2 linked regions of the Oryzias latipes genome follow. The protein of the gene in region 1 binds, or shares a complex with, the protein of each later gene. Links are inferred from orthologs where the notes say so. Each region holds a gene or a part of one and is shown on either strand. Other genes may lie near its edges.

Region 1 (4,386 bases):
CTGTGTGGGAAAACAATTCAAGGCAGATAAGAGCTGATGGCTTCAGCTCTGCCTGACTAAATCGCTGTCTTGCAGGGATGCTGAAAAGAAAATTAGAAAAAATTGTGAGACTTGAAAGGAAATGAGAAATGAAAGCCTTCATAGGGAGATGCTCATTGTGAAGACTCTTTAACTGTGCACGACAGCTCACGTTCCATTGTCTATTTGTCCTTGAAACCTTATTTTTCTGTTCACATTCTAACAATAAGAACACCGTGAAACCATTTGGGTTTTCACCGTGGGACTCAAAAACGGGGATTCATTGCGGTCTTTTTTTTTTTTAAACAAATGGAAGCTAAAGGTGTGGTCAGACAAAAGAAAAACCTAATAAATGAAATTCAGAGAACAAACAGAACTTGATCTCTTTTTGATGTGAGGAATGGTTCCCAGGAGAACTAGTTTAAAGACCAACTCCAATGAAAATCAAGTTTTTGGTGTTTTAAGCACCATCTTGTACCATTTTTCTGATTATGGAGGACACAATATAGAGTATTACTTTAATCAAATCATTGGGAATCAGTCGCAGGCGAAAAAAATGCAGGTTGAAAAACCTTTAGCTGCGATGTAGGAGCAACATTGGGCAGATCTCCATTCGGATGCATCCATTTGCAGCTAACTAGATCCATGTAGGTCTTTGTTTTCCTCTTATGAGCTGGCATCTGGCCTAAAACTGTACGGCTGGATAGCTTTGAAGTTGCTCACCATTTTTGTCCCCATGGTAATGTTATATTGGGAGTGTGAGGGGCTGTAAGCTAGCAGGAGAGCAAGTAAGCAGAGAGCTCTTCGCAACGGGGAGGGGGTCCACACCTACAGTCCTGCCCCCAACTCCTGCCACTCTGCGAAAACAATGTCCTAAAAAAAACAGTTTTTTTTAATTTGTCTAAAAACAGCATAATCACAATTAAAGACCCACTGGTAATGCTTTGAAAATAGATTAAAAGATGATCGGAGTGGGACTTTAAATGGATCAGAAGCGGCACAGAGCATGCAGGCGCTCAAAGCATCAATACTTGTACAATAAACTGTTCCAGTGTCAGATTTGGTAACCTACCTGGCATCAATCACCATTTGAAACAAATGGTCTTGAATTTACCTTGTAAACTTTTCCAAACATTTTCAAACCAACATGTTGTTTCCTGTGTGTTAAAATTTTCCATTTAAGCAAATGGGTTTCCATTTACGAAACATCTGATTTAAAGTAGAACGCCAAAGAAATGTCAAGGTTTATTTTTGTAAAAGGCTGAAACAGAATCCTTCTCTTTTTATGAGCTGAAAACCTTTACCTTTGTCGCACATAAAGTCTCACAAGAGCGTTATGTTATTTCTGATGTGCTGTACTTGTGGCATTTTTCTGATGATGGACGACATCTATAGAAGAAAATTAAGCTAAAAAATCAACATTTATTTTTTTCAAATCAGAGTGAATCAGGAGCAGAAGAAAAAAAAACAATTTGTAAAAGAGCTTATTTGTGTCCTAGAAAAAACACTGAGTAGGCCACAAGCTCCCTCTTAGCTCTCAGCAACAGGGAGGGGAAGAGGGGACGGGGTTGCTCCTCATCAACAGTCCCTCCCACAACTCCTGCTGCTCTGCAGAAATTATGTCCTAAAAAAAGACAGTTTTTTTTAAATTTATTTAGGCTAAAAATGGCACAGTCAAATTTAAAATAGCACTGGGAACGCTTTGAAATTGTTTAAAGTTTGAAAGGAAATTTTCTTTAGGTTTCATCTTAAAGGAATAAAGAGATCTGTAGAGAACCAAATCTTCATTTTGGTTTCCATGAAAGATGAATCACTGAATGAGAACAAAGCCAATTCCACGAAGTTTAGGCTACTCATGTCTCAGAAAAAAACAAAAACCATCTATTATTAACAGAAAAAACATTTTCCCGTGTTTCTGCACTCAAAAATGTGGCAAAATGTAAACTGTTTCATATTTCATTACCTAAAAGTCTGAAAGTGAAGCTGGAGGGTTTAAGTGTATTTCTGGTTAATGAATCCATGTTTTATTAAACTCATAGATGTATTTTAAATAGTTTGGAGAAACTCTGCTTCTCCATCTTCTCTTTTTGAGGGTATGAATGCGCGCAGATGGGAGCAGCCGTGCGTAAAGGCTGGCTCGGGTGTTCCAGGGCGCGCTCATCTTTGGGATGGTTCCTTTATTTCTTACGGTTAAATGAGATGCTTACCTGGAGAACGGTCTTCATGGTCCCATGAGGCACGATGGTGGTGCAGATCTCTTCGTCTTTACTTATAGTTTGACCCATGATGAAGAGCATGGGTGTGGAGAGCGCGAAAGACGCGAGCCACATGGCGCTGATCAGCTTCTTGGTTCGGCTCCGGGACATGATGCTCTTGGCTTTGAACGGGTGGCAGATGGCCATGTAGCGCTCCACGCTCAGGCTGGCGATGTTGAGCGCCGTTGCGTACGAGCAGCTGTCCCGCAGGAAGAAGTAGCCCCTGCACACGGCGTCCCCAAACACCCACGGGTGGTGGACCCAGATGAAGTTGTAGATCTCGATGGGCATGGAAATTATGAGAATGAGCAGGTCCGACACGGCGAGGCTTGCCAGGTGGTAGTGCACGGTGCTCTGGAGGTTCTGGAGGCTCTTCTTGGACAGCAGGGTGTAAAGCGTTATGGAGTTTCCGAGAGAGCCGACAGCGAACAGGGCCACGTAAATGACGGTGACGACCACCTTGGAGTAGATGTCCGTGTTCACGTCCAGTTCCTCCTTCCCTGCTTTAGCAGTGTGGTTCTCCAACACGGATATGTTCCCCAAAAGTCTCTTGGCCAGCGCGCTGAAGCCGAACAAGCTGCGCTCCGACAGCGAGGAGTTCACATCCATCTTTCTTGGTTCACGCACAGACCATGAGCGCGCGGTTTGTGGGAATTCAAACCGGGAGCGGACCTTTCACTTTAGCAGTGTAGGACCTGTCTGTCTGTCTGTCGGTGGAGGTTGGAGGAGAGCCGGCTTTTATACTTGGCACAACTGGAGGCGTGAGAGCAGCTCCCGCTGCCGCGGTGACGCGCGCGCACGGAGGGCGAGAGGAGCCTCTGACTCACGAGACTCCTGACATTTTACTGAATTTGGAGAGGAATTGTTTTAATTAATAATGTTGAATAATGAATAATGTTGAATTTTGCTATTATAACTGACACAGTTTATATATAAAAGCGTTTGTTATACTCCACAAAGATTCCCTGAAGAAGAAATAGTTCTTATTTGATAAGTTTGATAACAGATATGCTACCTGCAAAGGTACATTAAAACCAAAATGAGCACAAAGACAAAAGGTCTGACATTAGGAAACATCTGGATAAAAAGGCCTTTCTGGAAATCACTTGACATCTGGAGTTAAACAGACTGAACAAAATGAGAGTAACAGTCAAACACGGAGGTGGGGCCATGGTGATAAGGGTTCGGTTACTGCTTGTCACTATTTAATCAGCCCTGGCATCAAAGGGTTAGCTGGGCCCACCCATTCACGTATTATACACACGCCCCAAGGACAAGGCTGCCACCATATTGTTTCATTTTTTTACTTTATATTGTTATTTCTATAAGATTGCCAAAAATGGACATTAGTTCTTGGCCAAAATAAAAAAAAGAGAAAGTACAGAATGCACAAACAGAAGTTAAAATACTGAATCTACTTCAGCACCAGCAAGGCAAGTGCAGCTAAGCGCTGTGGCAACGAGCATGTTAGCTCCGCCTCTCCACTCCACTGTCCACCACCGAATCCAGAACAGACTTTCACCTACAGCCTCTGCTGCAGGGTCTGCCTTTCCCGAATTGGATTGCTCAGCCACGAGCGAGTTTGTAGACGACGTGGACAGCCCTCAATCTTTGTGTACCAAGCCTCGCCATGACTCGACTGTCCACCACTGTATGGCAGCAGAAGCATTAAGATTCAGCCTGATCAAGTGAGCATAAAATCTGATCCAGCGTAGTATTTCTATATTTTCTATATCTGGAAAGAAATGCAATTTCTCTAGTTTATGGTGCTAAAACAGACCCTGGTTATAATACTCGGTAAAAACTGTTGTGCTGTCTTAGATGACCCCACCCTTCCATTGACGTGTTCTCCTTACCATGACAAAGGTGGATAATGGTGGAAAGATTTCATGTAATCCATGGACACCAGTGAAGATCACAAATCATTGAAGAAAAAAGGTTCAGAGCACAGTCTAGTGGGTCTGGATGACCCAACTCCCAATGTAAAAGTGCCTAGGATAACACAAGGGTTAAAAGCTATCTGATGAGACACTGAACATTAGTTCTTGTTTAAGTTGTAAAGTCTCACATATTTTCTGTTTTTTCCTTTACCATCTCTCTGTCAACACTGATG
Region 2 (4,251 bases), on another chromosome or scaffold:
TGGTTTATCATTTATCTTTACGACACATGAAGGTTTTAAAAAATAAGGTACAAAAGAACAAAAAACTTTTCTTTATATTTTAATTTACCTAAATAAAATCAGTGTTTTTTTCAGGACAAAAATGATCATTTGTAACATAAAAAAATATTATCAATAGATTTGCTTACATTTGATTTTCTGCTTTGACTCAAGCTGTTTTCTGACATTTCTCTTACATTTATTTTTTAAATAAAATACAATGAACTACCAAATGTATTCATTCAGTAAAGTTCATTGTGTCTACAAATTGAACTGAGTTCTTATGTTCTTTTTTCTTAGATAGTTTGTTTGTCAACATAGCTAACATGTTTCGGTTGAATCACTTCCACCTTCAGTATTGTGTGACGTCTTTCAAAATCAACGTAACGTAGCTTTAATTGTCATTACATGCACAAAGATATTCCAGAAAGTGCCTTTTCAGTCACTTATTTAGCAAAAAGTAAACAACATGACACCATGTTATAGTCACTTTAAGGCAAGTTTTAGCCCAACAAAATAAAAAAGATCATTTTTGGGGATTGTTCTTACTATTTTGTATGTTTCTAAATGGTAGAATAGGAAATGTTGCCTCTTATTGCAGAAATCAAACTTGACAGCAAAAGCTTTTATTAAACAAGTTGATATCAAACATGATGAATTTCTTTTCCTTAAAGTGGAATAACCACAAATTTGGCTTGGTTTTAAAAACACTGTTTTTGGAATAACACATCTGAACAGAATTCTTTGTCCTGTTGCACTAAAATCTCTCACAAACATTGATTTAGTCTTCCAGATCACCAAACTACTAGCTGAGCTGCAGACACATCATTTGCAAAAAAAAAACCAACAGTATTTTTCTTCCCCCAAACAGAAACAGAAACACTAAGTGGGATTTGTGCAGCCTCCCACATCCTCCATGCTACACAACAATTGGACACAAATGCACTGCAAACCTCACGCTCCATGCTTTCACGGGGAGATAACCAAATGTACCAAACCATGACGCAAAAACCCTTGGTTTCATGATGCCAGAGTGACGTCTGATGGGACGGTGACACCATGATGGGATGGAAAAGATGATAGAGACTGAGGCAAGGAAAGGAGGGGGGGGCATGGAGGTGGGTGGGAAGGTGGAGATGGAGATGAGAGAGGAGACGGGAGCGTGTGGGGGTGAGGAGAACGATCCTCTGACATCACATTGGCTCTTATAAACCCAGGGAATGGAGCCCACCGCACTTCACATCCAACCTGGAAACCACAACAACCTTCTTGGACAAGAAGAAAGAAAATACCAAAAAGGAGGCTCGGCAACTGGAATCTGCATGCCTCCAACCTTTTCAGCTCCCAAATTCTGAACCTTATGGCCTAAATTCTTACAACTCTTCAGTGCAAAACGTTTTTCTTTTTGTTGGCTTTCTTTTATTTCCCTCGATGATGCAGCTGCAGGTGGCATGCATGCTCCTTCTCTGTTTCACATGCGGCACACTCTGCACGGGTAAGTACAGAGATCTTTTATCCCCCCCCCCCCCCCCCCCCCCCCCAAAAAAAAAAAGGTAGACTTTTTTACTTGCTGCATGCAACAGGTGTTTCCCCTGCCTTTGTTCCCATGTCTGTTCTAATCCAGGAGGATCTTAGATCTGCTGAAATATGCATTAATGCAAGCCAACAAGAATGTAATATAATAAAAGTAAAATTTAAATCTAGAAAATGTAGTTTCAGATGGGTCAGGGTTGATGTGAGGACGGAAGGAGGGCTCACCCATTTAAACACAACTGCTCTTTAAAGCAACAAGTTAGACTCAAGACTTTAATAACTCAACTACAAAGATGCAGTGAGGGATGTTTGCTTTTTCCTTTTTTTGCAAATTTTAGTTCATGACATCAATTAACTTTATGCTTCCATGTAAAAATACCAAGACCGATAACCACCAAAATCCAACAGATGGGTCGTTTTGTTTTTACGCTTTAGACCAATGAAGGCTTTTCCATTTGACGCTTGTTGATGCAAACACAATAACCACTTCAGATTACCTTAATTTAGCATCTACATGAACATACAAAACATTAATTACTTTTTTTTGCATAGCTGGAAATAATCAAGGATAAAAAAGAAGCTTTTTTTAATGTTTTAGTTCATGTAAATCTTAAATCGTCATTATAGACTGTAACTTGGAACAGAAGCTTTGTGGCATTACTTTTTGCATTTTAAATGTTATAAGCAATAAAATGAATATGGAAAATTATGGTTTAAAGAATATTTGTCTTTGAACTTAACTCCAGCTGTTTTTGGAATTTTCAACTTCAAGTCCTTTCGGTTTCTCAGTTACATGAGTGTCAACTTTAGAATTAATAGAGACTCAAATAGAAAAAGTTTGTCACTCATAACTTGCCACCGATAACAAATGTGGGCTTTCCCCTTGTTAAACACGTAGAGACATGCTACAGTTCTCATTTAACCACCTGGCAGCACACGGCAGATTCAAACTGATAGAGTTATTTGTGTCACATCTAACCCGAACGTTCGCCCGTCTTTTTTCTTTTTTGGTTTTGCAGTTGCTGAACAGAACCAGGAAGCCCTTGCGCAGGAGCTCATCAGCAGTCTCCTCACCTCTAAGGTACAGGTTCTGTCTGCAACTACATCAGGAAAATATGAACATATGTAGGCTTAAAATGACCGTGGTCTATTTCTTATACAACAAAAATGATCACTCCAATCGCTGATGTCCTCTTTGAGGAGACAGAGGAACCATTTCCAGACTTTCTCTGCCATCGGAGCACTAAAAGGCAGGGAGACGGTTGCTAGTGTTGGGTTCCAGCTGAACCTCCTTTCCTTACTAAGGAATGAAAAATGAAGCATGATGGTGTCAAACCGTGCCTCATCGCTGCTAATGTTTGGTCAGAAGTAATGAGCACGATTGCAACAAAAGGTGCTGCAGACTCTGGAGAGGAGGATCACAGAGGACAGCAGCACATCAACTCACACATCTGTTGGTGTCTCACATCCAGGAGAGGAAGTTTACGGGAAAATGACGCCGACTTCAAGACCTTCTTTACTATACAGCACAGACCTTTACATTGCTGAACCTTTTTTATTGTCAAACTGAAAACACGACTGTCCCTCCCTACAAAGTTTGAGGCCAAGTAAAAGAGCTCTGCCACTCTTCTGTTGAAACACACCTGTACGACTGCTGCCTTTAAATAGTCTTTTTCACTTGAAATTTGAGGGGTTTAGAGGGGCTTGAGCTTATATTCAATACACTATTTCCATTTTTTTCCATGAACCTCTATGTCACTCGCTGCTCTTAAATAAGGGATGTGATGTTTGCGGACTCATCCACTCAGATCTTCATTTAATCTCTTCCCGCCTGACTTTATTTCCAATTGTATACAAACAATATTGTAAATTTGAGATGCTGCCAAATGAATTAAAGTCCTGGATGTAATGGTAAGTCAGTGACATATAAAGGGGTTAACCACGTCACATAGTCTGACCCTCTTCTTCTGGGCACATTTAGAGGCAGACAGGAAAAAGTCCTCATGAATTCAGTTTAAACGAATGGATGGAGCTCAGATTTATTTAATGTATCTTAAAGGTTGCAATGAGAAACACTTTATAATGACCAACTATGTTTTACTAAACATTTGCAAGATGTTAGCATCTCTAAAAACATCTGTGAATGTCCTGAGTTCTGGGGAACGTTTTATGTCAGCTTTCACACTTTCTCTGCTGTAAAATCCAGAGATGAGGAGGAGAACTGAAGGATGTTTAATCAAAGAGGCTATTAAAAGTGTCCAAAATGAAAATGTGGTCACATGAAAGTCCTGTTTTTTTGACGACAATGTTTCTCCTTTTTCCCTTCTAGATTAGACACGAATGGCAGAGCGCCCCCTACTGGCATTCACAGCTCTCCAGTTTGTGCAAATTAGTGAGTGGCCTTCAGGAGGGCACATGGAGCAGAGAGGAGGAGGAAGGGGAGGAAGGGGAGGTGAGGGAGGGGAGTCTGCAGCTGCTGGAGGAGCTGTTCAGCCTGCAACACGTTTGCCGAGCCCTGCAGAGCCGGGAGGAGCGGGTGAGGCGCTTACACCAGCAAACACCACGGAGAAGGAAAAAACACTCCTTTGTGTCTTTTTTAATGCACCTCAGATGACGGCTCAGCTGAAACTGCCTTGACCTCTAATGACCTCTGAGGGGATGTTTGTAGAAGCACATTTAAATTAGCTCTAGATATTTCTA

What was found.
Region 2: the proteins of ntsr1 (region 1) and uncharacterized protein LOC101157195 are in contact, whole or in part, in a crystal structure (PDB 4BUO), measured with the Rattus norvegicus proteins. The link is inferred for Oryzias latipes from reciprocal best matches to the Homo sapiens genes NTSR1 and NTS. Residues at the interface, in NP_001102437.1 of Rattus norvegicus: Ser53, Asp54, Leu55, Asp56, Asn58, Phe128, His132, His133, Tyr146, Met208, Val224, Cys225, Thr226, Pro227, Ile238, Arg327, Arg328, Phe331, Cys332, Tyr333, Ile334, Ser335, Asp336, Trp339, Phe344, Tyr347, His348, Tyr351; in NP_001095851.1 of Rattus norvegicus: Arg157, Arg158, Pro159, Tyr160, Ile161, Leu162.

What each region holds. Positions count from the first base shown.
Region 1 is NC_019865.2:5,560,460-5,564,845, reverse strand, and holds the start of ntsr1 (neurotensin receptor type 1), read right to left. Parts: upstream 3,038-4,386; 5' UTR 2,883-3,037; coding exon 2,226-2,882; intron 1-2,225. UniProt on the Homo sapiens protein: G-protein coupled receptor for the tridecapeptide neurotensin (NTS). Signaling is effected via G proteins that activate a phosphatidylinositol-calcium second messenger system.
Region 2 is NC_019864.2:1,846,150-1,850,400, reverse strand, and holds the start of uncharacterized protein LOC101157195, read left to right. Parts: upstream 1-1,186; 5' UTR 1,187-1,449; coding exon 1,450-1,513; intron 1,514-2,570; coding exon 2,571-2,632; intron 2,633-3,880; coding exon 3,881-4,087; intron 4,088-4,251. UniProt on the Homo sapiens protein: Neurotensin may play an endocrine or paracrine role in the regulation of fat metabolism. It causes contraction of smooth muscle.